Xenopus tropicalis: one gene and its partners. The main gene of each other region encodes a partner of the protein of the gene in region 5 in a complex. Links are inferred from orthologs where the notes say so. Each region holds a gene or a part of one and is shown on either strand. Other genes may lie near its edges. The genes, in order: sf3b5, rbm48, snrpd3, bcas2, snrnp40, lsm6 and lsm2.

What was found.
Region 1: snrnp40 (region 5) and sf3b5 share a complex: the UniProt entries of both Homo sapiens proteins name them as parts of the minor spliceosome. The link is inferred for Xenopus tropicalis from reciprocal best matches to the Homo sapiens genes SNRNP40 and SF3B5.
Region 2: snrnp40 (region 5) and rbm48 share a complex: the UniProt entries of both Homo sapiens proteins name them as parts of the minor spliceosome. The link is inferred for Xenopus tropicalis from reciprocal best matches to the Homo sapiens genes SNRNP40 and RBM48.
Region 3: snrnp40 (region 5) and snrpd3 share a complex: the UniProt entries of both Homo sapiens proteins name them as parts of the U4/U6-U5 tri-snRNP complex. The link is inferred for Xenopus tropicalis from reciprocal best matches to the Homo sapiens genes SNRNP40 and SNRPD3.
Region 4: snrnp40 (region 5) and bcas2 share a complex: the UniProt entries of both Homo sapiens proteins name them as parts of the postcatalytic spliceosome P complex. The link is inferred for Xenopus tropicalis from reciprocal best matches to the Homo sapiens genes SNRNP40 and BCAS2.
Region 6: snrnp40 (region 5) and lsm6 share a complex: the UniProt entries of both Homo sapiens proteins name them as parts of the U4/U6-U5 tri-snRNP complex. The link is inferred for Xenopus tropicalis from reciprocal best matches to the Homo sapiens genes SNRNP40 and LSM6.
Region 7: snrnp40 (region 5) and lsm2 share a complex: the UniProt entries of both Homo sapiens proteins name them as parts of the U4/U6-U5 tri-snRNP complex. The link is inferred for Xenopus tropicalis from reciprocal best matches to the Homo sapiens genes SNRNP40 and LSM2.

What each region holds. Positions count from the first base shown.
Region 1 is NC_030681.2:58,017,277-58,019,834, reverse strand, and holds sf3b5 (splicing factor 3B subunit 5), read right to left. Parts: upstream 1,118-2,558; 5' UTR 1,116-1,117; coding exon 855-1,115; 3' UTR 540-854; downstream 1-539. UniProt on the Homo sapiens protein: Component of the 17S U2 SnRNP complex of the spliceosome, a large ribonucleoprotein complex that removes introns from transcribed pre-mRNAs.
Region 2 is NC_030682.2:31,762,903-31,767,098, forward strand, and holds the start of rbm48 (RNA-binding protein 48), read right to left. Parts: upstream 2,843-4,196; 5' UTR 2,728-2,842; coding exon 2,617-2,727; intron 1-2,616. Other genes in the region: pex1 (peroxisome biogenesis factor 1), read left to right, coding at 3,070-3,180. UniProt on the Homo sapiens protein: As a component of the minor spliceosome, involved in the splicing of U12-type introns in pre-mRNAs.
Region 3 is NC_030677.2:152,605,305-152,609,500, reverse strand, and holds the start of snrpd3 (small nuclear ribonucleoprotein Sm D3), read right to left. Parts: upstream 2,848-4,196; 5' UTR 2,825-2,847; coding exon 2,699-2,824; intron 258-2,698; coding exon 65-257; intron 1-64. UniProt on the Homo sapiens protein: Plays a role in pre-mRNA splicing as a core component of the spliceosomal U1, U2, U4 and U5 small nuclear ribonucleoproteins (snRNPs), the building blocks of the spliceosome.
Region 4 is NC_030682.2:7,012,467-7,016,461, reverse strand, and holds the end of bcas2 (pre-mRNA-splicing factor SPF27), read right to left. Parts: intron 2,946-3,995; coding exon 2,853-2,945; intron 2,393-2,852; coding exon 2,322-2,392; intron 2,189-2,321; coding exon 2,027-2,188; intron 1,904-2,026; coding exon 1,853-1,903; intron 1,588-1,852; coding exon 1,507-1,587; intron 995-1,506; coding exon 874-994; 3' UTR 585-873; downstream 1-584. UniProt on the Homo sapiens protein: Required for pre-mRNA splicing as component of the activated spliceosome. Component of the PRP19-CDC5L complex that forms an integral part of the spliceosome and is required for activating pre-mRNA splicing.
Region 5 is NC_030678.2:79,149,808-79,154,088, reverse strand, and holds the start of snrnp40 (U5 small nuclear ribonucleoprotein 40 kDa protein), read right to left. Parts: upstream 2,815-4,281; 5' UTR 2,743-2,814; coding exon 2,662-2,742; intron 985-2,661; coding exon 855-984; intron 269-854; coding exon 175-268; intron 1-174. UniProt on the Homo sapiens protein: Required for pre-mRNA splicing as component of the activated spliceosome. Component of the U5 small nuclear ribonucleoprotein (snRNP) complex and the U4/U6-U5 tri-snRNP complex, building blocks of the spliceosome.
Region 6 is NC_030677.2:58,334,471-58,338,684, forward strand, and holds the start of lsm6 (U6 snRNA-associated Sm-like protein LSm6), read right to left. Parts: upstream 2,955-4,214; 5' UTR 2,868-2,954; exon of another isoform or gene 2,691-2,867; intron 1,284-2,690; exon of another isoform or gene 1,097-1,283; intron 503-1,096; 5' UTR 488-502; coding exon 394-487; intron 1-393. UniProt on the Homo sapiens protein: Plays a role in pre-mRNA splicing as component of the U4/U6-U5 tri-snRNP complex that is involved in spliceosome assembly, and as component of the precatalytic spliceosome (spliceosome B complex).
Region 7 is NC_030684.2:75,102,988-75,107,118, forward strand, and holds lsm2 (U6 snRNA-associated Sm-like protein LSm2), read right to left. Parts: upstream 2,908-4,131; 5' UTR 2,770-2,907; coding exon 2,767-2,769; intron 2,303-2,766; coding exon 2,235-2,302; intron 1,752-2,234; coding exon 1,721-1,751; intron 837-1,720; coding exon 777-836; intron 660-776; coding exon 534-659; 3' UTR 201-533; downstream 1-200. UniProt on the Homo sapiens protein: Plays a role in pre-mRNA splicing as component of the U4/U6-U5 tri-snRNP complex that is involved in spliceosome assembly, and as component of the precatalytic spliceosome (spliceosome B complex).

The DNA of each region.
Region 1 (2,558 bases), on a different chromosome or scaffold from region 5:
TAACTTTTAGTATGGTATTAAATGCCCTATTCCCAGCAACTTTGCAATTGATTTTCATATTTTTTTTTTTTTTAAATTACATGCTTTTCTCTTCTGCCTCTTTCCGTCTTTAAAATGGGGTCACTAACACTGCCAGACAAAAACCATTGATCTGTGTGGCAATGGTTGGTTTTTTTTCCCCTGTCTATGCAGGCTTTCTCCTATTCATATTCCAGTTCAAACCACTGCCTAGGGTAAATAATAGCAACCAGATAGATGTAAGAATATGAAAACTGAAAGCAACTCAACAAAAAGCTATATAAAAAAAAACAATTATGAAGCCTAATTGCAACTGACCCTAGGGTTGCTGGCTACTAAAAGCACCCTGACTACGTTTACCTTTTCCAGTTTTTTTTTTTTTTTTGGGTGGGGGGGGGGATGGGCAGCTAGATTCTCTTCAAGAACACCAAACATAGCACCCTGACAATAACATTTTACATACTTATTAATCTAATAAGTGAACCACAGTGAACAATTAAAAAACTAACAAGGGTATGTTGTACAAGGATTCAACAAGAGTTGATTGTTTTATTACAAGTGATAAGCAGTTGAAAGAAAAGCCTAGATTAGTCGTACAAGGATTTCGAAGAGACTTCAGGCAAATGCACAAACGTCCTCAAAGTACTTTATCACGGACTCCTGGAATTCAGAAACTCCATTTAGAATTAGCACAGTCCTGCTTTATGATACACGCCTGTTGATTAGGCGGGAATCTCTTGCTTAAGTCCCGGAAACTTTAAGACGAACGGCGATAAGTTTGATCGACTCCAAGAACTCCATAACAGGCAGCCTCAGAGAAGAAACCATCGCCACGCTTAAGAGTCGTCGGGCTTATCAGCTGGGGGCCCACACGGCTGCAGCATCTTCTCCATCAGGTTAAAACGTACCCGTGCTTTACTTTCGTTCTCAGCCACGGCAAAGTAATTGAGCAGATCAAAGTGGCCCATGTAGGAGCAGTAAGAGTCTCTGTGCTGGTTCACCAGCCACTCCCACTTAGTAGTATCCGCATGGCCCGTGCCGATATACTTGGACTGCAGATGCTCCAGTTGGCTGTGAATAGTATATCGGTCTGTCATGGCGATGGCAAGCGCTAACAGCAAGCTCACTGTACACGACTTGGTGTTATGATATGCAGCGGTAGCGCCTTTGGCTTCCGGAGGACAAAAGAAGTCAGCGTGTTACAGCAGCCGGAAGTTACGTTGCTTCCGGGAGTGACCAATATATCGACGCCGACTAAAATAAATAAAGTTTCGTAATTTTGTAGTGTTTTGCTCATTTTCGCTTCAGCGATTGGCCCGCCTATTTCAAGCGAAATCGAAACTCCCTGCATGCTCAGTTGTGGGACACAGGGAGAGAACAGGCGGAAAGCTGTATGGAAAAATATAAAGTGGTTGCAGTTGGGTCAATTCTATAGGAATAAACCATTTTTTGAATAGTAACCTCCGCAACATGTTAACACATGAAACAATACCCAGCGGCATATAGATTACTCGCCTTCCAACCTTTACCTTTAAAGTGATAATATCCGTGATTTTAGCACACAGTCTTGCGATTTATTAAAGTTATATAAAGGCAAGGGTTCAATGTCCCCTCTAATTTCTTCTCAGTTATGTACACAAAAAATATTTTGTGCGCACAGTTTTTAATTTTTTGCATTCAGCATGTGTTTGTAAATGCATACATTAAAGTGATGTTAGAGCCCTAAGGGAGCAACTAAGACACTACCCATTTTAGACATGTAAACTTTGGCAGTATAAGGGCATTTCTGGCACATAATAACTTGGAGAGGCTTTTCACAGGGTTAAACACCGAAGGGTTAAATTGACCTATCAGTATATTCCTCTTGTAACAAGCAAAGATCTATTAAAGAAAAATTATTTTTGCTTGAAAGAAAAAGTTAGAACTGAAGTAGGTAATAAATGTGCTTTAAAGTAATTCAAGCTTGTTGAATCATTTTAGGTCTGTTACACATGGGGGAAATTTGTGCGTTTGATCAAAGTAAGTTGTGCCTGCGTAAGGCAGCATTCTTCATTGCATGAACTTTGTAGTGCACATGAGCTGTTTGCAGATGTAAATGTCACTGATGATGTCAGAAGGAAAATGGCTGCCAGGTAAAAGACACTATTTGCTTTAGGGATATGTAATGGTGCTGACAAACACAGGGGATATATGCAGTACAAATGGAGTTGTTTGGGTGCCCAACTTATATATATATGGTAGGAAAATGTATGGTTTACATGTCCTTTAAATTGCACAAGTGGAAAGTAGGCAAGCAATATTGTTAACAAACTAAATAAAGTAATAAAATAAAAAAAAGAAAAAGGAAAGGAAAAGGAGAAAAAAAATTACCTTAAAATCTGAGGAAAATAGCTCAACAGTAAAGAGTTCTGCTAAAATTTGCAGAAATTAAAGTTGCGCCTTTTCTGAGATTTACTGTTTCAAAATGACTAAAAATACAAATCTAAGAATTTCCAGTTAAACTTGCCAAGATCATGTAGAAGTCAATGGCAGATGTCCGT
Region 2 (4,196 bases), on a different chromosome or scaffold from region 5:
CAGTAACCTTGTTTTAAAATAATTGTTCTTAAAACATTTTAAAACTGATTGCCATTTGTTTCTTTCTTCATCTCGTGTGTTTTTCTTTTTGGAGGGAGACTTCTAGCCAATCCATGTGAAACAGGTGAAATAATAGGTGAATATATAAAATTTACTTTTAAAAAAAGACAGTGACGGGGTTGTTTCTCTATCCACACTTGTAGCATATATTTACGAGCAGCTGCAGATATGATAAACAGTACTTTTCTACTCCCCCAATAAGTCTAGTATTTGGTAGGGATACCAAACATTGTCAATTTTGGTAACATAGGAACATAATCCATTTTGGTAACATAGGAACATAGTCTAGCAAGTTATCAATGGCATAACAAGTTATTGATACCCAAAACTTTTTACTATGAGGACATGTCCAGAAACAATTAAATAAATCTGCCTCCAGAGAGTCCTATTTGGGACTGACTTTTGGCGAGTAGTAGGCTCAATAAAAAGAATTTTAGATGCATTTCTTTATATGATCCCATTGGAAGACATTTATTTGCATACTGTAAGGCCTTGAGACATTTGTAATTGAGAAAATTTCAGAAGCCATTTGTTGTGTCCCTTGGTGGAAGAAGTATAGACTATCTGCTTATATAATAGACAGGGTTGGAATGACAGCACACGCAGGATGTTTTTCAAGAAGAATCACAGAGGTTTAGGGCCCTTTTGTGCTTAAAAAGGTTTGTACTGCACTGTGATGTTACTGTCCCTGATGAAAGTTCCAGATAGGAACTGAAACGTCGGACTGAATAAAGCCTCACATTTATTTATCTAAACCTCTGTGATTCTTCTTGAAAAACATCCTGCGTGTGCTGTCATTCCAACCCTGTGTATCTACGCTTTCAGCACTGGCACCCAGGTATTAACTTGCTCTTATGGTGTGCAGCTTTCCAGCAACTCATTTCTGCTTATATAATAGTTTAAAGCCCAGTGATATAGCTCTCTTGGCGGGAGGATGGCTATATAATTTTACTGGTATCGCTTTTGAAGGAAAGCCAGTAACTTGCTAGAAAGCACTGGATACTTTTCTTTGGCTTGAACATACGTTAAAGTTTTTCTATTTGCATCATCTGTAAAATGGCTTAATCAAGCCAGAGTGATACAACTGTTTGTATATGCCATGTTTGCCATACTGTATAAAGCAAATGGTTATCTGTCCAAGTATTCAGCAAGGAATCAACAGTTTTTAAAGTCCTAAACTAAAGATTTCTCTGCGCAAAAGCCTGATTCTTCATTAGTACCACAGATTTGTGTGTTATATAATTAACGCAGCAACTGGGAATATTGTTTTCAAGGCATGGGGCAAAATACAGTGAAATATCACCAAAAAAAAGCCTGTTCCAGGCTGCTAAAAAATAAACATTAATCTTTCAGTAGAACAGTGATCCCAGTGATCAAATGGCTCTGTCACAGGCCTGACCTCAATCCAGCTGAGAATCTCTGGCATTATATGAATAAATCTGACTGGGTGCAATAGCCGAGGGCTACAGGCACAAAACTGAGATGAGGCACATTTTCAGTTTTTGGTCAAAATATAATTTTTTTTATTTCTCAAACATTTAAAATTTAAATGCACATCAGCATCTTACATTTGTCACATGATATGGAAAGCTTAAAACAGACCCTTACAAGTCAATCTTGGTAAGCGTCAAATTTAAACTTTTTTTTTTTTTTTAAATATACCCCTCAGTTTAACGTGAACCCAGTAACTGAGTGCATTATACTCTTCTTTATGAAATTAAAAGAAAATAGTATCAGTTTGTGTGTGTTTTTTTTATATGCAGACATGTTAAGTGTGCTGGTTGTATGAGAATGTGTGCAGAGTGAAATGATGTAATGTTACAGGGCAAGGAAAGGGAAACTGGAGTGTGTGCTAGGGCAGACCCTGCAGTTGGAAGGGGGCCCAGGAATGGAAGTGGCCCAGGAATGGAAGTGGCCCAGGAATGGAAGTGGCCCAATAAGACCCTAATTGATGAGAAATGTCAATGTATCTTGGTAGAATAGGTTAACATACAAATATTTTTTGGGCCCTAAATTGAAATTGTTGTGGTACCCCACTGGCTTGCAGTATACATGACTGCTGGTGTAACTAGAGACCACTGGGCCCAACCACAAAATTATCTTTTTATTCATAAACATATATTTAGCCTTATCAGTTGCAGCCACTGGGTCTGTGACATCTATAATTACAATCATGGGAAATAGCCCATAGTTTATAATGAAACCTACTGCCTCCAAATGGTGAACTAGAACTCTAATCCCTCTCCCACACTATTCCCCTATCAGTGGGTGCAGATAAAAAGGCAGCATTTTTTCCTTCAGTGGAACAATATGCTCCTATGTAGAAACAGAAATCATTACCAGTTCCCACACAGTGCCCAATTAAAACCACATGAATATAGAAGAGCTAACATTCTTATGGAAGCTGTAACTCAGTGATAACTCTAGGGAGCAATTTCTACGAAGGGAAACCTGCTAGAGCGGCACTGGCGCTCAGTCCCACCGCAAGAATACGCTGGAATACTAGTTGTGTGGACGTATAAAAACCAAAACAAAAACTGTAAATGTTTCACGCACTTTGACTGCTCTGGGCCTCCGTCCTTCGCGGTACTTGGCCCGTGAGGCGCATATCTTTCGCTGCTCATGGTGTGCGTAGGCCTGCACTTGCACTGCTGCGCTTTCTGCCATCGGCTTCTGCTGTCTAAGAAATAGTTCCCTCTCTCCCTGTACCAAACACAGGCCGGGACACAGAACCAATAGGCGGAAAGGCAGCAGAACCAATAGGCGGAAGGACTGCCCCGCACACAGGCGTCATTAGAGCACGCCATTCTCTGATTGGGCGGGAGGTACTATACGTCAGCAGACACAGGGTGAGTGGGATTTCCTCGATTGTCAAAGGTGAAACAGCGCGGAAGTTACCCAGTAGGCATGAAGGAGCTGATAACGTTAGCGATGGAAGTTCTGTTACTTGCACGTTCGTCATACACAGCGCTGGAGTGAAGGGGGTTGCTGTGGGTACGCCACAGTAGGATGCTAGGTCCGGGACCGCCCGGGGCTGCTGTGTCCCTGAAACTCACAAGTGCTAAGGACACATTTTTGCGTGTGACACCTGAGGTGCTCGCACAATTACGCCTGGAGCAGGTAACTCTAACCGGGGCCCGTCTGTCCGTGATGGGCAGCACTTGTTTATTTTAATATGATGCCTGTAATGGCCCTGTCCGGGCACTAACCAGGGCTTTGGGATTCTCAGGTGATTCTACATGGAAAGCAGGAGGGAGTTTAGTAACATGACATGAGGTGTATTTGTGTAGGTGTCAGAAAAGGATTAATAATATCAACTGGGATAATAGCCTCTGGGAAGGGACTGGGGCTGTGGGATAGCAGGTATAGTAGGGAGAGATGGTGCCTATAGTAGCAGTGGGGGGATAATAGCCTCTGGGAAGGGACTGGGGCTGTGGGATAGCAGGTATAGTAGGGAGAGATGGTGCCTATAGTAGCAGTGGGGGGATAATAGCCTCTGGGAAGGGACTGTGGCTATGGGATAGCAGGTATAGTAGGGAGAGATGGTGCCTATAGTAGCAGTGGGATAATAGCCTCTGGGAAGGGACTGTGGCTGTGGGATAGCAGGTATAGTAGGGAGAGATGGTGCCTATAGTAGCAGTGGGATAATAGCCTCTGGGAAGGGACTGTGGCTGTGGGATAGCAGGTATAGTAGGGAGAGATGGTGCCTATAGTAGCAGTGGGGGATAATAGCCTCTGGGAAGGGACTGGGGCTGTGGGATAGCAGGTATAGTAGGGAGAGATGGTGCCTATAGTAGCAGTGGGGGGATAATAGCCTCTGGGAAGGGACTGTGGCTATGGGATAGCAGGTATAGTAGGGAGAGATGGTGCCTATAGTAGCAGTGGGATAATAGCCTCTGGGAAGGGACTGTGGCTGTGGGATAGCAGGTATAGTAGGGAGAGATGGTGCCTATAGTAGCAGTGGGATAATAGCCTCTGGGAAGGGACTGTGGCTGTGGGATAGCAGGTATAGTAGGGAGAGATGGTGCCTATAGTAGCAGTGGGGGGATAATAGCCTCTGGGAAGGGACTGTGGCTGTGGCATAGCAGGTATAGTAGGGAGAGATGGTGCCTATAGTAGCAGTGGGATAATAGCCT
Region 3 (4,196 bases), on a different chromosome or scaffold from region 5:
TGATGATCATGGAATTTTACAGACATCACCCTGTTAACCCTGCCCCTACACAAATAAAACTTACCTTGGGCCTTGAGAATAGCTGCTTTTCCTCTGCCGGCACCAGAACCCTGGTTTTTATTCTTCATACTCTTTAACATGGGAGCATTTTTCAACATGTCTGGGAGGATGAGAAAACGAATTTTGCTGCCTCTGATGTAGACCTGTTCTAGTTGTGCCACTCTGCCATCCCTGTACGTTACAGTGATGTTTGACATCTGAAAGTCAAAGTACAATTTAAGCATCCATGGAGGGAAGAAAAAAGGACACAGGCTTAACATACAGCACTATGTGAGGAATTCTATTACAATGTTTTATATTTATAAAGCTTTAACGGGATCGTGTTTGACTTCACACTCATGTCTCCCCCTTGTTTAGCTCAAAGAATAGCCAAAACCATGTTCTTTTCCTGGGAGACAGCACCAAGAACATTCATACACAGTAGAAGAATGTTTAGAAGACCAGTCTTTGCAGTTTTAAATTTCCTTTAATGTATATCCAAGTTGCGTAGAATTAAATTTTTTCATTACAAAAACAGTTTTTGGCTGGAGGACCCTTTTAATTAAAATAGCCAAAAACAACCTATTTATTGTACAAGGTAATATACAGCTGCGTTAAAATGCTTTAGAAACACTGCTATAGTCTATACCAGTAATGCCCAACCAGTGGCTCCCAGTGGACTTTAAGCAGGTGCTTATTTTTTGTAATTTCTGGTAAGGAGGCAAGTTTCTGTTGCATAAAAACCAGCTGTATTGCCAGCACAATCCTGTAGGCTTCCAGTCCCCATAAGGGCTACCAAATAGCCAATAACAGCCCTTATTTGGCAACCCAAAAGAATTTTTTATGCTTCATTTGCTCCCAAACTCTTTTTACATTTAAATGTGGCTCACAGGTACAAAAGGTTGGGAAACCCTGGTCTATAGAAATAAAGCTGCATGGGGGCAGCTATTCAAACAAAGAGGGCTGAATGGCACAGGTGACAAAAAGATAAGCTCTGTAAAATACAATACAGCTTATGTAACCAGCACCTTTAGGGCTCTGGCACACGGGGGAGATTAGTCGCCCGCGATTAACTCCCTGTTCGCGGGCGACTAATCTCCCCGAGTTGCCTACCCCTGCCATCCCACCGGCGAACATGTAAGTCGCCGGCGGGATGGCAGACGTGGCGGCGCGATTTCGCGCAAATCGCCGAAAAAGACTCGCAAGTCTTTTTCGGTGATTTCCGGAAATCGCCCCGCCGCGTCTGCCATCCCGCCGGCGACTTACATGTTCGCCGGTGGGATGGCAGGGGTAGGCAACTCGGGGAGATTAGTCGCCCGCGAACAGGGAGTTAATCGCGGGCGACTAATCTCCCCCGTGTGCCAGAGCCCTTACTCAGTTTATCCCAGCTTGGATGGCTGCCCCCACTGATACACAGCAGCTTATTTATATGAACTATAGTAGTATCAGTGGGGGCAGCCATCCAAGCTGCTGTGTGTTACTGAAGCAAACACCAGTTCTACCAGTGCAGGGTAACACTACATCGTATTTTGATTACTTTGAAACACTTACATAGTTTAAAAGAATAGGAACACCAAAATATGTTACCGTTTGGCTTCTGTGGGTAGATAAAGGAGACTTTTCTCCATGTTAAAAGAGAAGTTTATACATGAACAACAGAAGAGTGCTTAGTAAAAAGAGCAAAAGGAAATTGTCACCCTAAATATTTTTTAAATTACACAACAGGAATGCAATACGGGTGTAGCCACACCCCACTAACTAGGCTCCTGTAACTAACAGTTTAAAAGTGCATAGCAACAACAGCATTTACATATTTTACTTCTGCTCCTTATCACTGAGCTTTACTGTGAATATACTGACATCTAGAGACACAGCTAGGAAATTGAAATAGATTAGGATTAAAGGAGACATTGTATAAAAATTAAGAATGTACCAGTAAATTATACTCCTCTAGATATAGAAGGACTGTGGTTTAAAAAAAATTGTTTTTTGGACTGTTTTATTGAGAAATTCCACCAAAACCCTAATAGTCCCGCCCATCTGTTCCACTTCCTGCTGGCTGGATAGGAACCAATCAGCAGCTAGGATGACCTGATAGGGAACTGAAGCCTGTCTCTGCTTGTGTGAGTGCTGGGCTGTGATTGCCTTCCCCCCTCCTACTGTGCTTCTGGCAGGGACCGTTAGGACACGCCCACCCTTCATTTTAAACAGGGACAGAGAACTGATAGGATCTACAGGGAGCTCCAATAAAGAGGCCATATTTACAGATGAGTATTTTTTAGCCCAAATGAAACCCGCAGCATATATTGTTCATAATTGTCTACAAAATTAGGTTTTTTTTTCCCCTATTTTTCCATGTCTCCTTTAAGCTATTTACGCTTCTGACCACAATATAACTGCTTCTTTTGCAATGGATAGGGTAACCGAGGCACTATATAGGGAATAAATAGGTGCCTTTTGGAAAATACTTTGCCCCTAACAATTCACACACACATTTTTAGTTTAACACAGCCTTTACAATTGTTGGTCCATAAGGTCTATCACTAGAGTTTATACTGCAATCACCAACGTACTTACAAACATGGCATAAGGTAAATATTTATAAGTTTAGGTGCACTTGCTATAGATATAATACGAATGACTTGCTTATTTTACTTACTTGGCAGTTCATGTTATCCTCTGCTTCAATCAATTTCCCCCTGTATACCTCTCCGGTGTTAGTTTCACATGTCACAATGTGGCCTTCTGCCTCATGAAGGACTTTAATTGGTACACCGATAGACATATTGAGAGCTAATGGAGATTAACCTGCAATTGGAGAAATAAAAATTAGCAAAAAAACGTGGAGAACATACAAAGCGCAACGCAGGTTACTGCATACAATGCAGCCATGTGCAAACTATAAGGTATATTCAAATAAAAATCCTTATTACATAATGTTTATCCAGCCTAAAGCTTTAATCACTTACAGTCTATAAATTCAGCCATACATATGCACACAAACATGCCCAGCCCTTCAGAAACACATGCACGTTAGGACATCGCAGCAGCACAACCCGCAGAAGCAGAGGAGTAACCCTCAATGAATGAGTTCCCTGGGATACTGGCACTGAGGCCTACACAAACGTTTCAGTGCCCCCGGCCTAAGGCAGGAATATTTATAGAAACGGATAACGGACTGGTAACACAGTGAGATGCGTTGGGCCCGGCACCCTGTATATAACCTCACCATAAGGCAATATTTAGAGGGAAGCCCTGCTCACACTCATACAAAGCTGCCAACCGCACAGACCTAAGGGAAAGCGAACAAGCGCCGAGTAACCGAGACGCACACCCCGCCCAGATATCCGCACGCTGCAACCCCCGGGCCTCTCTGACAATCCTGCAAAGCGCAGACTTTTTACCGAACTTTTGTTTGCTTTGGGTAATACTTACTAGCGTGGCTCTGTTCTGCGTTCTAATGGCGTCCCGCCTGCCCCACAATGCACAGCGAAAGGAAACAGGCTGTCGTATCTCTCTGCCCCCTTTTCCCGGCGACTGCACAAGCAAACAACTTCCGGTGGGAAACAGATATGAGTGACTTAGTTCCGCTCATCAACCCATTTATCTATTCACACCATTTAAGAGCGGCTAGTTGCACTGCAACTTTTCATATTATATATTATGAATTATTATTAAATATCTTGAGCTGAAACCTCCAATTAGACTCAGACGTGCAATCTGTGGATTGTGATAAATGCCAGAAGGGCTGCTGTAAGATGTCACAGACACTATTTATTGGGGTGATAGGGGGCTATTTGGGTATCCGCGTATAATTAAATGCCAAGGCCCCATTTCCAGTCCGCACCTGATCAGACTGTTTCTTTTAGTCTGCGCTTTTAATAGGTGCTGATTCTGACTTTATTAACTGAATTGGCAGACCGCTGGCATATGTATGGGCCCAGAATGATCAGGCTTATTTTGTTTATATATCTGCTGAATGCATTGTTTCTGAACTGCCAGAAAGCACATGCAACATTAAGTAAAATGGACAAAATGGCATCTGTGCACAAAAATGTACCCCTGCTCACTGCTGTAAAATGTAGATTCACCCCCCATTCTACCATGAATGTATGTATGTGCACATACAGGACTGGAATTAACCTGTCACTGCAGCC
Region 4 (3,995 bases), on a different chromosome or scaffold from region 5:
TCTTTACTGGCACAGATCTTCCCTGCTGAAGGGCTGTGTGGCTGGTACAGAAGCCCAAAACATAATGTACAGCATTTCTGCCCTACTTCTTTAGTTTCCATGCTATTTGCAGTATTCACACCAAGTCAGAGCCAGACAGATAGGGGAAAAGTTTCATTTGCTGATGCTGGAAGTGTCTCTGGGCTCAGTGCTGCTTGTGTCTCCGCCTGCACAGAACAGCAGGGGGCGCTCCTGTTACACCTTCATGATATTAACATTGTAAAAACAGATGAGACCCAGGAGGAAGGGCAATGCCAGGCTTTCCCACTGTATCTCTATGGCCTATAGAAGACAGTTCATTGGTTTTTACGCTGATTTCCTCTCACTGTTACACACATGACCCGTTATCTGTCGAAGCTGCCCATGTGGGAAATCCGTCCCAGCTCAGAACATACCTATTTCCCTCTGGTGAGATCAGGCACTTGTGCAGAGACGGGGGTGCTATCTAATATATAATGGTGTGCCCCCACCCAGGCCAGGGTTACGGTTGTGTGGGGTGCTCAGTACAGACCCCCAGGAGCGCACAGGATGATAAAAGTGGAAGATTTCTGGAAAACACTTTATTATTAATATTACAGTGAAAAACAAGTCAGAATTTCCTTATAAAAGCCGGTATGTGCCCGGCCTACGAGGCAGCACTGGGGCATTTGGGTGAAACAGGGAGACCCATCCCTGCGCCTATCAGCACCCAGGCAGAGACTACTCGCTACATTTCCAGAGTGAAGAGCCATAAAGCAACCAGAACCCCCAGCAGCGCTGCCCAACATGGCGCCAGAGTCTCTGCAGCAGGACCGGTGCTGTTACCCTGGAACCTGTAATCCTTGGGGCAGGGCCTTAATAATCTTCAATATTTTCCTTATTCTCCCCGCTCCTCTCTTTCAGCTGATAGACTTCATTCTCCATTTGCACAATTGCTCTCTCAATCTCGTAGTTTTTGCTCACAAGAGACACCCACCTGCAACCGGCACAGAAAGCAAGTTAGAGACAGACGAAAATGACTACCAGTTCTATTAAAGCTAAAATATTAGCATCCCATAAATACCATACACTGTACTAAGCACAATTCAGCAGGAACAGCCCCCTAAGTTTGCTCATAGCCTGTACAGAGAGATACCATAAAACTATGGCACATAGGGATTCCCCTGTACTAAGCACAATTCAGCAGGAACAGCCCCCTAAGTTTGCTAATAGCCTGTACAGAGAGATACCATAAAACTATGGCACATAGGGATTCCCCTGTACTAAGCACAATTCAGCAGGAACAGCCCCCTAAGTTTGCTCATAGCCTGTACAGAGAGATACCATAAAACTATGGCAGCATAGGGATTCCCCTGTTCAGCAGGAACAGCCCGCTAGGCACACTCAAAGCCTGTGTGTACTTCATTCATGGAAATACAGTATAGGGGAGTAGGTATTCCCTTGATAAGTTCACCCTAGGTGTGAACAAAATGCACAAATCTCACTTACGTTGACTCCATCTCTCTGAGTCGGGCACCTGCTGTCAGCTGGGAGTTCTTTCTCTGCCAGTTCAAGTCCTGAATCTTTTTCCTGTTCCGGTAACAAGACAAATAGTGAAAGCGTTAGAGCTGTTAAAATGGAAGTGTGCAACTGCTAGTAATACCCCAGGGCTAGGAACTACCCCACGTAGGTAACTCGAAGCTCATCCCAGTAATTACACAGGAACTGAGCTCTAAATCTCTGCACTTCCTGCTTCTGGGCTGCTCTCTTCCCCACGGCCAGGGAAGGATTATATATATATATATATATATATATATATATATATATGGTTAGTATGGGCTTAATGCCGTCTCACCGTAACTTCTGGAGATCTTTCTGCGCGCAGTCGATCATATGCAGCAGGTTCCTGGGAGGAGACAGAAGAATCACGTGACTGAAGGGCGGCAGTATCATTGGGTCATGCTATATCCTGTGCTGTAAATCAACACCCCCCCCCCCCCCCCCCCCCAACGCCATGTTCCCAACTCACTCGTTATAGACTTTCCAGGCGTTACAGCCGTGCTGGGACATGAGCTCCAGGTTCTCTATACGGACGGCCTGGTGTTCCAATTGGGCCATGGAGTTATTGACACATTCCTGCCACGCGGTGATGTCGTTCCTCTGGCCGGATAGGGGGGCCGGTAACTCATACCTAGAATCAGAGAGAGGGGTATGGTATTTCCACGGATACCCTTCAGCACAATGAGACCACATGGAAACCACAGGGCTGTAAAGCAATGCACAGATCTTGGTCCAGTAACCCATAGTAACCAGACGGCACTCACCTCTTCATGCTGAGCAGTTCGAGGGGCTGGCGCGACGAAAGTCTTTCAAACTCGTTCCTCATGATTTCAGTCTAAATAAAATGAATGAAAGTTGGAATCTTGGTCTCCTCTGTGAAGGGAACATGCCCCCCACCCACGTGATATTAGCACCAGTAGGTGCCAGGGTGGGCTCTGTGCATGCAAACCCCTCGGGGTTATGGGACTATGAAAGCAATCTTTGGAGAACTGACAGACATAAGGACGAGTAGTAGCAGAATGAATAATGAAGTATTAATATTTTGCAGAGATATCAAGTTGCTAGGGTCAAATTTACCCTAGCAACCAGACAGTGGTGTGAATGAGTATAGGGGAGGGGCTGGATAAAAAGTAACAGTAACAATAAAATTGAAGCCTCACAGAGCAATAGGTTCTTAGTTGCCAGGGTGAGTTCTCTAGCAGGGAAGCCATTTGGTTGGCCAATGTGCAACCACCGTGAATAGAGCAGAGGGGCACCCAGTGTAGGGTGCTGCAGAATAGGGAGAAAGCCATTACCTCAAATGCGGAATAGTCGGGGGTGGGCAAGTAACTCAGGTAGTTCTTTGTAGGCCGATATCTTCTGGTCTCCTCTTCCACCAAAGCTGCAGCCTGAGAGCAACACAGACCGGTTATTTACAGTAGAAATGCCCCCAATGGGAGTCATGTGACACACAGGGGCAGCACAGACCGGGTATTTACAGTAGAAATGCCCCCAATGGGAGTCATGTGACACACAGGGGCAACACAGACCGGGTATTTACAGTAGAAATGCCCCCAATGGGAGTCATGTGACACACAGGGGCAGCACTGACCGGGTATTTACAGTAGAAATGCCCCCAATGGGAGTCATGTGACACACAGGGGCAGCACTGACCGGTTATTTACAGTAGAAATGCCCCCAATGGGAGTCATGTGACACACAGGGGCAGCACAGACCGGGTATTTACAGTAGAAATGCCCCCAATGGGAGTCATGTGACACACAGGGGCAGCACTGACCGGGTATTTACAGTAGAAATGCCCCCAATGGGAGTCATGTGACACACAGGGGCCGCACTGACCGGTTATTTACAGTAGAAATGCCCCCAATGGGAGTCATGTGACACACAGGGGCAACACAGACCGGTTATTTACAGTAGAAATGCCCCCAATGGGAGTCATGTGACACACAGGGGCAGCATTGACCGGGTATTTACAGTAGAAATGCCCCCAATGGGAGTCATGTGACACACAGGGGCAGCACTGACCGGGTATTTACAGTAGAAATGCCCCCAATGGGAGTCATGTGACACACAGGGGCAGCACAGACCGGTTATTTACAGTAGAAATGCCCCCAATGGGAGTCATGTGACACACAGGGGCAGCACAGACCGGGTATTTACAGTAGAAATGCCCCCAATGGGAGTCATGTGACACACAGGGGCAACACAGACCGGGTATTTACAGTAGAAATGCCCCCAATGGGAGTCATGTGACACACAGGGGCAGCACAGACCGGTTATTTACAGTAGAAATGCCCCCAATGGGAGTCATGTGACACACAGGGGCAGCACAGACCGGGTATTTACAGTAGAAATGCCCCCAATGGGAGTCATGTGACACACAGGGGCAGCACTGACCGGTTATTTACAGTAGAAATGCCCCCAATGGATGTCATGTG
Region 5 (4,281 bases):
AAGGAAAATCAGGCATAAACCAAAGATATTACAGTGTCTGGCATCCTGGTCTTTGCAATTTTACAGAAATTAGTATGCATAATTTAGTACCACCAATGTGTAATACACAGGATAGTTTTCAGTACCCGTAAAACAAAAATGACTACATAAGCCCCAGACCAGACAATTACCTACCTCCCGTCTGTATTGTAATGAAGCTCCATCACTGCTCCACTATGTCCTTTCAAAGTTGCATAATTGTCACAGTCGCCATATACATTCCATAGCACTACAAGGCAAGTCAAAATAAACTCACTCAATAACTTCACAATTTAAGGGTAAAATACATAGCTTCATTTTTGGATTCAAATTCTAATTGTTATTAATGTACAATGCAGCATAAAACTAAAGTTTAAATGGTTTCATATTCCTTGTAAATTCCAGATTCAGACGGTGTCAGTTTTCTTGCAAATCAGTTAAATACCTACAAAGAAGTTCATGTGTGCTGCTAAATTTACTTGCTTTGTTTAATAGAATAAGTTACCTGCTGGGCAAACCTGCCAAAACATGGTAGCTTATTTAATTTGATTAAATATTACAAGAAAAGAAAAAATAAAATAACACATACCTGCATAACTTTCTTAATCTGATCAGTTGTAACATTCATAATTAATGTTACAGCTTGTATAGTGTGATAATGTGCTAAAAAGGAGCTAAAAAGCATAACAAAATTACAGGAGGTGCAGATTAATCCTTAATTAGTAACGTATAGATGGCCAATTAATTGTGTGATTCTACAGATGAAAAACAACATCTGCTACTAAGTCAAACAGCTGCAAAATACAAAGCGTATAAAACAAGTGAAAGTTGCTTACAGATAAGTCTGTCAAATCCTGCAGAAGACAAAGTTACACCATTGGGATGAAATTTGCAGCAATAAACTTCTCCTTCATGACCAGAAAGCAGCATGATGGGAGCCTGAAGACTGGATGATCTTGGGGGACCCTGCAGTCAACAAGTTCAGAGAATTAAACATCAAAGTAGATTCAGTTCCATTTATTACCTAAAGAAATATTTTATTCACCTTAAATTTTTAGTATTCTATAAATTACCATTTCTATTCTATTTTAAAGGGGCACTGACACATTCCTATAACAGTAAGGAACTTGTCAGTATTACCCATAATGCAGCACAACACTACTGCTTTTATTGAAGATTTACCCCAAATCTCCTCCAGCCCAGTCACACTTACCACAGGCAGAGTTAAAGGAACAGTAACACCAAAAAATGAAAGTGTATAAAAGTAATTACAATATAATGTACTGTTGCCCTGCATTGCTACAACTGGTGTGTTTCCCTCAGAAAGACTACTATAGTTTATATAAGTAAGTTGCTGTGTAGCCATGGGGGCAACCATTCAAAGGAGAAAAGGCACAGGTTACTTAGCAGATAACAGATAAACCCCCATTATATGGGGCTGATCTACTAGTTATCTGCTACATAACCTGTGCCTTTTCTCCTTTTTTCAAGCTTGAAAGGCTGCCCCCATGGTTACACAGCAGCTTATTTATATAGTAGCTTTTCTGTAGCAAAAACACCAGTTTTTTGCAGAGCAACAGCACATTATATTTTAATTACTTTAAAACACTTTAATTTTTTGATGTTACTGTTCCTTTAAGCCAGCAGTCTGGATAAAGAGATGCTCCCTGCAGACATGCGGGCTGTGGGTGGTGCCATCATTCTATAGGCAGGAATACAAATGTAAACTGTACTCCAGCCGTTGGAAGGATTGCATGGAGGCCAGTGTGACTGACAGACAACTCGTTAAAGTAACATTCTGCGTGTAGTAGTGTTGGGATGGGGTAAGTGTGTTTGGGCTGGGGGAAGCCCAACCAAGTGCTGCATTGTCAGTAATACTGACACGTTCCACGTCAGTATTCTTTTAACTACTCTTTGGCATATTTTCTCCCCTTAAAATTCAGTTTTAGTATTATTGTTATATTGCCTATTGTTTATCAGTCTATTGAGATCCTTCCCTAATTATTTGCCATTTTGAGTTCCAATCTACTTCTTGGTTGCTAGGAGAATTGAGGTCTAAACAAACAAACCTTAGAGGCGCAGAAGAAATAATCAAACTAAAACATGAGAAACAGATATACAGACTAAGGTCATGCTGTCTACACTATACTAAAGGACATTTTAAAACTGAACTACCCCTTTCAGAAAAAAGGCATGAAAATGGGTTAAGAGAAAGTCCCATAGCAGTAAAAATACTAGCTTTTTATTTACTATTTATAACTTTTGGAAATAAAGTTTTTTTTTTAAAAAAGAAAACTTTAACTTGATTACCTTCATTAAAACAACTAGAAAGTCCCATAAACGAAAAACCACAACCCATTAGCGTAGCAAAGTGTAATCACAAGGTCCTTAATGGCTGTGTGGGGTGCACAAGACGAGTCAATACTATAAGTAATTATACCCCTACCTATGTTCAGACGTTAGAGCCTTATGATTACACTTTTTAGCTTATTCTTATACCGTCTAAATCTTTTAATAAAGGAAATAATGGTACGATTTAGATTATGTCTATAATTTTACCTAAAGTCCAAGTCAAATATGCCCAAGGAATGAATGGTTACACTTATCCAAGCCAACCATTTCATTCAAATTCTTCATTCTTACCGAAACCACCAACTCGTTCCTCGGTTTTTTTGCCTGTACCGGCACCAACTCCATTCCCTTCCGCTTGTTTTGCTCGATCATGTTTCCAAGAACTCCTTCCAGCTTGTCTAACACTCACAAACCCAGCCACACTGTAAGACTCGCTTGCGTTCCCACTCAGCAGCGCAGGATGCTCACGCAATTATCCTGCGCAGTCACTACCTGATAAAGATTATAGTGGTGATTGGCTCTAAGACAATCATGTGACCTTGAAAGCCTTTAAGGGGCGGAACAGAGCTTGCGCCGATTTTGTCCATTAGTAATGACGTACGATGGGCGGGGTTGCGCGTATAAGGATGTTTAAGCAACTGGGCTGATACAGGAGAAAGAGAAAATGACGTAGAAGTTGTTGTAATTGGTTAAATGTGATCGGCCGGGGAGGAGACAGCGAAATGGCGGCCCATCAAAGGTAAAATATATAACAAGTCAGTTAGAAGAAGATTAATAGGCTATTACATAAACCATTATTAACGCAGCTTGATATTTCTCTGCAGGTGATTCAATTTTTTTAGGCACATCACATGTAATTTTGTCTACTCCAGTAAAAGGGGCTGTTGGCTTTAGGTGCCTTACATGCTGTTAGCGCACACTGAAGGATTCATAGGCTGGACATGCCTTCACTTTCTCTTCTATATGGAGCATATCTATTATAGTGTGTAAGTCGACATCATTGGTGGTGATGTGGCCCTTAGCAACCAATCAGATCTTTGCTTTGGATTTCTAACTTTTAGGTGACTGCTAAACTCTTAATTGCTGATTGTTTGCTATGTGCAACATCACTGGTGATATTGGCTTATACGCTAGTAAATAGGCTAAGGATTAAGGCCATATGTTATTCTGCACATAGAGCCACATTTACAAGCGTATTTGTAAATTTAGAGAGGTGACAGACGGGTATATTAGTCGCCCCGCAGCAATTCTTTGTTGCTGCGGGCAACTAATCTCCCTGCTATGCCATCCCACCAGCAGGAATGTAAATCGCCGGTGGGATGGCATATGCGTCACTACGATTTTCTGAAGTCGCCTTAAGTTGCCTTAAGAGGAAACTTCGGGTGACTTCCTTAGCCCTATGTGTTGTAGCAGCCATGATTACTATAAGGTATTACAAATCTATTGTCACAGTGACCCAGTTACACAGTGTATGGGTTTGAACCTGCAGTGAAAAAGAATGAAAGTGTCCCTGCCCTATGTTATGCGTATTTATCTCATTATTCAGAGACTTACGAAATATACATATTTGTATATATATCTTTATGTGACTCTAATTTTATATGCAATTGTTTTTTTTTTTTTTTTTTTTTTTACAATACTTTTATATTACAGTGCAATAAATAAAATATTAGCAGCTAAAGAGATTGAGTGCCACACATTGAGACACAAGAAGAATGAGTTCTTTGTCCTGTCTTAACATCTAAGAAGGTTGGAAACTTATTCACATGAATGGGAGGGTAATAAGTGCAGTCATTTATTAAGGTGTGGACATTGGTCTATATAAGGGTCACCTCTGAGTAGAGACACTTATTAAGAGATGTAGTGGAGCATGAAGGATTAATTCTTTGCTTATGAGAAACTATGGCAGGC
Region 6 (4,214 bases), on a different chromosome or scaffold from region 5:
GTTACCAAACAAAAAGCAAGTTAACTGGCACCTGGAAAAGTAAAAGGGCAGCAGTTCTGGGTATAAATTTGTTGCACATGGCTGGCAAAAGAGCTCTACCTATTAATACTAAATAAAGAGGCCAATGATAATTAAGTTCTTGCGCCCATTTAGGAAGAATACGACCCAAACGTAACCCTGATTTGCATATTTAAATTTAAGCAGCATCTGTGGGAAAATGTATTGCTTTGGAATGTGCAAACTTTGAAGTGAGGGAAAATACGTATTATAACATGGACATGAAACAGAGCCAGAATGAATTTGTAAAAATACATTTTTCATAATCCTCATTCCAAATGTTGATAAAAGATAGATATAAAAGGAATTCAGGTTGCCTTTTACTTTAAGCTTTACCTCGATAATCGACTCCAGAGTTGAGCTTTACAACCACTGGTCTTCCAATAATCTGCTTTAAGAAGTCACTCGGTGTTTGTTTGCGCAGGCTCATTCTAATTCCCTTTCACTGTAAAGAAAGGTTTCAAGACAAAATAATTCTCTTATTGTTATATAGTGCCAACATATTCCTCAGTGCTTTACAGATATTATATATTATTCACATTTTCAGACCAGCATTTTTATATCAGTTGCAGTTGGTCATTATTGTCAGTTTGATGATTTAACAGCACAGATTAGTGCATTAGAACTGGCAAATCTGCACTATGATATGGTATACAAATAGACTGCCGCTTTGGTCCAGAATTCACAGCAAACATTGTGGAGTATAAGTCCTATTTTAAAGAATATAAACTCTACAAACACTAAACTCTAAAAGAAGCAGGCTAGAAATGTTAAACTTTAGTTTTCTATTAAACTATTCCACCAAATTTAACCAACAGCAATGACAATCCATTCGCCTGCAGTTGGTTAGAAATATCTTCGTCTTAACTAGCCTTTAAAAGGAAAGCCAGGAAAGCACTATAAGAGATGTGTTCTAAAAAATCAGAAGACAAAGCAGTTAAAACAGGGTTAAATCACAGCTAACTGGAGGCTCTGTATTCCTCAGTGTCTACAGCAGAATAAGGAGTGGGCACTATTGATGTGCGGGCTGGCCCAATACCTGCAGGTCAGGCCGACCTTGGCACATCACCTGCGGGTCGCGGGTGGGCTTCGGGTTGAGTGCTTCCGGTCAGCCTCCATGACCGAGACCTAACAATGCTGATATTCCGATTCCAGCTTGGGAATTTATAGGTGCGCGCCCGACATGCCCCACCCCTTCGTGATGTCATTGCGGGGAGGGTCGGGAGTAGGTCTATAAATAAAGGGAAGAAGCTGGGTCGGGTAGGGTTGGGAGCAGGCGGGTTAAGATTGGGTATTTCTGTGTTGGTAAAAGTTTCATGTTTGCTTCAGTAAGACTATATAGTTTATATAAATAAGCTGTTGTGTAGCCATGGGGGCAGCCATTCAAGCTAGAAAAAAGGAGAAAAGGCACAGGTTACATAACAGATGCACGCTTTAGAATGGTACAATGGTAATCTACACAATTTATCTGTTATCTGCTATGTAACCTGTGTCTTTTCTTCTTATTTTCAATTTGTACAGCTACCCCCATGGTTACACAGCAGCTTTGTTTATATAAACTATATTCGGGTTTCTGAAGGAAACACACAATGTTTACCAGTGTAGGGCACTAGTACATTATATTTTAATTACTTTTATATGCTTTCATTTTTTGTGTTACTGTTCCGAGGATTTATGTACCGACTCCACAGTCCTCAAATTCCCTGATATATTATTGTATTTATCAAAGGTTTTTATTCAGTGTCTCTTATCATTTCTAAGAAATACTGTGCTTCCTCAGCCTAAACGTTTCCTACTACAGGTATAGGACCAGTTATCCAGAATGCTAGCGACCAAGGGTATTCCGGATAAGGGGTCTTTCTGTAACGTGGATCTTCATACCTTAAGTCTACTTAAAAAAACAATAAAACATTAATTAAACCCAATAGGATTGTTTTGTATCCAATAAGGATTAATTATATCTTAGTTGGGATCAAATACAAGGTACTGTTTTATTATTACAGAGAAAAAGGGAATCAATTTAAAAAATCTGAATTATTTGATTAAAATGGAGTCTATGGGAGAGGGGCTTTCCGTAATTCGGAGCTTTCTGGATAATGGGTCTCCGGATAAAGGATCCCATACCTGTACAAACATATCCACCATGGTGTCTGTCAGCAGTCTGATACAAATGTGACTCATGCTGGTATCAGCCAATTAGAGCAGAGGAAATCTGTCAGTGACAGCCTCAAGCATGTTGGTTACTGCCAGAATAAAATATTAAGTGGAAAAGCTCACTGATAACATAGATATATTAGGGCTTACATACATTAGGGCTAGAGCCCAACACTGACACACTGTAGCTGGGCTTAAACTTACAAATGATTCTAAATCTATAAGTAAGAAGCTCCATCCCTCTGATGTAGCAGGGAGATCTATACAGCCCCTGTGAGAGGAGCTCTCATGTACTTGGCACTGAGCCCCTCTAGTACAGCCTGCTGGTAATCAGTATATTGCTCAGGAATTACAATACCCACCTGCCGGGAGCAATACAAATATGTATCAAGAAAAGGGTGCCTGTAGCAAATCTACTTCGAAACATTATAGCTGAACAATACATAATACAATCCCAATGTAATGCAGCGGCCACACACCTGGGATGAACTACAACTCCCAGAATTCGCTTCGCATAGACACCGCGGGAGCCACACATTTAGGTTAATTATTGTTGTTACCTACTTTTCTCTGAACGTAATGAGCACTAACCATACTAGATGGTGTGCATCAATGCAAATACTACAGGCGGCCATAAGCCACCCTGTAATTCTCACCCTGTATCCCGTGCGATGCCTTTTCTCCCGCCTCTCTCCTTCCTACCCCTTTTTACGGTGTCCGTCTCAGGACAATCCAAAAACAAGCGAAAGCCGTGTGCGCCGTACGGAAGTAAATCGGGTTCCTGAATGAGGCACCGCCTACCGGGGGTCAAAAGGGGACGATGACGTTAACACGGGAAATGATGCGTCCAATCAGGGCGAGAGGCGGCGCTGTGGCTCCTCTGCACCTCTTGTATGTAGTAATGGCTGGGATATCCTGTATGTTTCATGGCTTTGAATCCCTGCACCATGCCATTATAAGTCATTCTAGTAAAGAAACCTCGCCTCCAACTTTAAAAACGTGTTCTGATTCAGCATTACTCTTACTTGCTAAACGTAATACATTTCTTTGAGTTGACGCAAATGTATACGTATTTTTATTTTACATATATTTATTTTTGTATCTATTTTATACAGGCACATGCACTTTACTTATGGTAAGCTACTTTGATTTTCTGAAACTTCCCATATAATCCTTTCTGATTGAAGGGTCAGTTTACTTTAATCAGCCACACAAAATGTCACTAGCATCAAAAATGATTACTAATACTGATAAGCTGTGTGTGGCATGACATTATTCAATTGGAGCCTGGTATTATTCATCTGAAATCTTTACTGATTCATTACCTGCTGTACACCATGTATTTGCAAATATCCTTATTAAAGTGGTGAATGTCATGGCACCTAATGGTCCCTGTACACGGGCCAATTCTAGCAGCTAATCAGCCCGTGTATGGGCACTACCGATGGGCCTGCCCGACCAATATCTGGCCTGAAATTGGGCCAGATATCGATCGGGCAGGTTAAAAAATCTAGTTGGATCGGGGACCGTATCAGCTCGTTGATGCGGTCCCTGGAACGACTTCACCTATACCCGTCTTTATAATGCGATCGTTTGGCCCCAGGGAATTAGCCTGGATTCTCCCCATATCGCCCACACGTAGGTGGGGGATATTGGGAGAAGATCTGCTCGCTTGGCGACATCACCAAGCGAGCGGATCTGAAGGTGTGTGGGCACCTTAAGAAATATATGTGCAGTCACCAAGAGGCCAGTGACTGACACCAAATTGGAAATCCTGCAAATTGTTTATAAGCATGGTGTGGGGGAAGCTCACTCACTCCTCTAAATTGTCACTTTATACCTGTCTTTATTGCTGTTTAGGTCTTCTCTGCTTATAACTATAAACAATTATACAATATTTTTTTTTTTTTGTTTTCATTCATTTGGTAATTGCTGGGTAACTAGCTTTCACATCCAGAACTTGAATCTGCCCTGCAACTGCCATGAACCCACCCATGCAAACA
Region 7 (4,131 bases), on a different chromosome or scaffold from region 5:
CTCTGGACAACAGAATGTTATAAATTTCTGTTCTTCAATGTGGAAAATTTCTGATTTTTCAAATTCAGGGTATGGGTTAAATTTACCATACGCATATTAAAAAAAAATTAAACCAGTAAAAATCATATTACGACAAAATTAAGAAAGGCAGATACAAACAGAAGGAACTAGCTTCACTAAAAAAAAAAAAAAACATGAGCTGATGACTTAACACAAAATTTATTTAAGTAAAAAAAAAAAAAAGTTAGGGCAGTCTTTCCCAATTAACTCTGCTTATCTGAGACCACTTCTTTGCAGAGCAAAATGCATTGCTTGGATTCTAAAGTGAACACACAAGTCACTGCACTTAAAAAAGTTTCCAGAACTAGGATGAGAAAAAAAAGTGTGGGTCTCTTACAGAAATGTAATGCAAAACCTGTATAACAGGTAACAAGTTGCTGCTCACTCCTATATTTGGCCTTATAGAAATATAGGCAGTTGACAACACCTAGTGCTGCTTGTGAACCTGCTTCCATCCTTCTAGCTCTTGTACATCACTGCTTTTGCTGTACAGCTTCTTTCCGTGCAGCGTCCTGGAGAAGCTGAGTGTCTACTTCATCAGCAGGGAGCTGTACATAGCGGACCACAGATCCCCGAATGAAACAATTCTTTACAGACAACTAAAAAAAAAATTTTTTAAATAATTACATTAACAAGTGTTTCAAAGCAGGATTAAAAGCTAAGTATCTAGTTTACTGGTGCAGATAAAAAATACAAAGAAAAAAAAAAAAGCTTACCATGTGTGGATATTTTTCTGGGTCTGTTACACTGATATCAGTCAGCTTAATGTTCAAATACTATAAAAAAAAAAAAAAGTGAAATCTTGTTTGAGATAATGAAAAACACAAGTTCCCCCCAAAAGTTCTATTCCAAGACATATTCCTCTATGCAGAATGCAAAAGATGATGTAGCACACTGATCACACATTAAATAAAGTGATTTATTGGCTTAATTAGCAGACATCTACTGGGAACATTTCAGCCAGTCTGAGAGTGACCCAAAACATTGCAAGAGTCGGTGCAACTTAATGCAACCACAATAACGGATCAGTGTGCTACAGCATCTTTGACCCTGGGCAGGTGGGTCTACAGACTGTTTAGCACCAGACACCTGAAAAGGTACTACGATAACAGGTAGAGCAGAGATATTCCTCTATGCAAACAAGCCCTCTAGGGTATAAAAAAAAAAAAATATGAGCAATATTCTCTTTGGAGAATCTTGTAGTAATTATGTTAATAAATATTCCCTGGTTTGACATTATACTCTGCAGGATGCGTACATTTTATTAAAGGCTCTGTCCCTTCAGGGGTTGTTCACCTTTGAATGAACTTTTAGTATGATGTGGACAGTGATAATTGGAGACAATTTGCAACTAGTCTTCATTATCGCAGTCTTTAATTAAATTTAGCTTTTTTTATTGCAGCTCTCCATTTTGGAATTGTAGGCGCTATCTGATTGCTAGGGTTTAATTTAACCTAGCGTTGTGGAAATTTCAGTAATGGTAAAGTCATTTAAAAGAAAATTTTCACTTTTTCATTTTTTTTTTGCCAACCCAACATTTTTCCCTGGCACTGAAAGATTTTATGCCAATTTCAGTTGCAAGGCTTAAGTGACAACATGGCTGAGCTGATAATTATGCTGAGAAAATAAACTACATTTATATATTTGCTCAGTTACTTACCTGATCAACTGAGTGTAGAGTACCACAGATACTGCAAGAGATAAGACCATTTATGTAATAGTGCAACAAAAGGCTAAATGGATGAAAGATGGCTAAATGGTAAAGAAGTGGTTATTTAAGGGTGTGAAGTCTACAGGAGCACAAGAAAATGTTTTTATAAATTCTGTCTACACAATACACTCTGCCCTCTAAAGTTTGACAATGGTCAGGGGGACTCTAAGTGCTGCTGCACCCACCGTGCTTACCTCTTTTGTGTTGGGCACATCACAAGTGCAGAAAGCACAACTGCACACACTGCACTAGGTTTAAGGGCTGTGACACACAGGGAGATTAGTCGACACGCAACAAGAAAGATTTGTTGCGCGGCGACTAATGTCCCCGTGTGTCACATCCCTTAAAGTACAGAAATTAGGTTCTTGAAATGTACCAGTGGCAGCTTTTTGCCTGACTGTATAGCATGTGGGGGGGGGGGGGGGGAAGCAATTCTAGAAAGAACATGGGGCAAAACACTCACCTCAGATCATTCTTCAGCTCTACCACCACATCCTTTCCTACAAGAGACTTGAAGAAGGAGTAGAATAGCTGTACATGATAAAAACAAGTAGTTATAAAAACCAGTTGCCTCTCCTGTAGCTTACCCAAGGCACATCACATAACAAATGTTGCCAAGATCCTTTACAGATCAAGGCAAAGCATGTTCTCTCATAAGACACAAACAATAACAGAGACAGACAAGTTGTTCTGTCCAACTAACATCAGGTTACAAATGATTGAAATGTTGTTGCAAAGCAGGGATGGCCAAATTCGAGCCCTCCCACTGCTATAAGACTACAAATCCCAGAATCCTGGTATAGGCAAAACATGGAACGTCAAAGCAGGGCATGGCCACTCAGAAAGCTGACCTTGCGACTATAGGGGGGGGGGACTGATTGCCAAACAGGTCTGTATACGCTGGTACACCACAAAATACATGGCTATCGACTCCTTAGGTTCTACCCTACAAAACGTGAAACAGTAACGGAACGCTAGTGTTCTTAAGCGGTTACCATTGCTTCTGTTGCAGTCGCACCACCCAAGCTCTATCTGGAAACTGAAGAACAAAACAGACGCCGCTGACAACGACAGATCTACACACCAAATGCCTTCCGCTCATTCACCGCTCTAGCGCCTCTGCATAAATCTCGCGAGAATTTAAAGCAGCAGGAATTTGCGCGCCGGCTTCAGGCACCGGCCGAATGAATGGGTCCCACGGTGATGACGCAATCATGATCTCGCGAGGACAGAAAACATTTTTTTCATGTAACTTTCTTGAGAAGTCCCCTAAACGTATTTTATCCCTGAACAACTAAAATACGTTAAAAAAAATACAGGTTTTATAAACTGGGAGCAGGTACTAAGTGTAACAAAGTATAGATTAGTTTATGAAACAGTAGAATAAAAATGAACTATATTAAGGTTAGGCACTCCACATTAGATCTGTAATGTCCAACCTTAAAATGTTTTTTTATTTTATTGTTTCTTCTGCCAGCAGAATTCTAACCTAGGGCCAAACTAGCGACAGTCAGACAAGAATCAGATTTATCTCTCCTTGTTCTTTGGATCCCTTTTTTGTATTTTTTTAATCCCTAACCTTTGGTTTGTCACTTGCCCACCTCCTGCCCTTTTTGAGCTTCTGCTCAGAGAAAATGTCCCTTGTACCAGTTTATTAAACAACTTTGGATTCCAGGTGTAACTACAGAGGCTGGAACTGCATTCTGACCCACAAACACAAACTATCAGTTCTTGCACAACAAACATCAATTGTAATGTTAAGGACCAATAATTACCAACTCCAGGTACAAGGCATGAGGGTTACGAGATAGCTAAAAGGAGTTACGCTGTCCATACCTGGGCTAGTTACTGTTAAAGGAGACATATCCTATAAAAATTATGAATGTGCCAGTGAATTATACTCCTCTAGATATAGAAGGAATGTGCTTAAAAAAGTTGTATTTCAGACAGATTTATTGAGAAATTCCCCCAAAACCCCACTAGTCCCCCCCATCTGCTCCACTTCCTGCTGGCTGAATTCTCTGGATGAGCTGGGGAGCCAGCGGCCCTCTATACACTGCACTGTAGGATAGGAACCAATCAGCAGCTAGGCTGACCTGATAGGGAACTGAAGCCTGTCTTTGCTTGTGTGAGTGCAGGTCTGTGATTGGCTCTCCCCCTCCTACTGTGCTTCTTGCAGGGACCGTTAGGACACGCCCACTCTTCATTTCAAACATGGTCAGAGAAGAGAGAGGATCTATAGGGAGCTCCAATAAAGGGGCCATTTTTACAAATAGGATTAATGTTTAGCCCAAAGGGAAACCAGCACCGTATATTATTCATAATTGCCTACAAAATTAGGGTTTTCCCCATTTATCAAA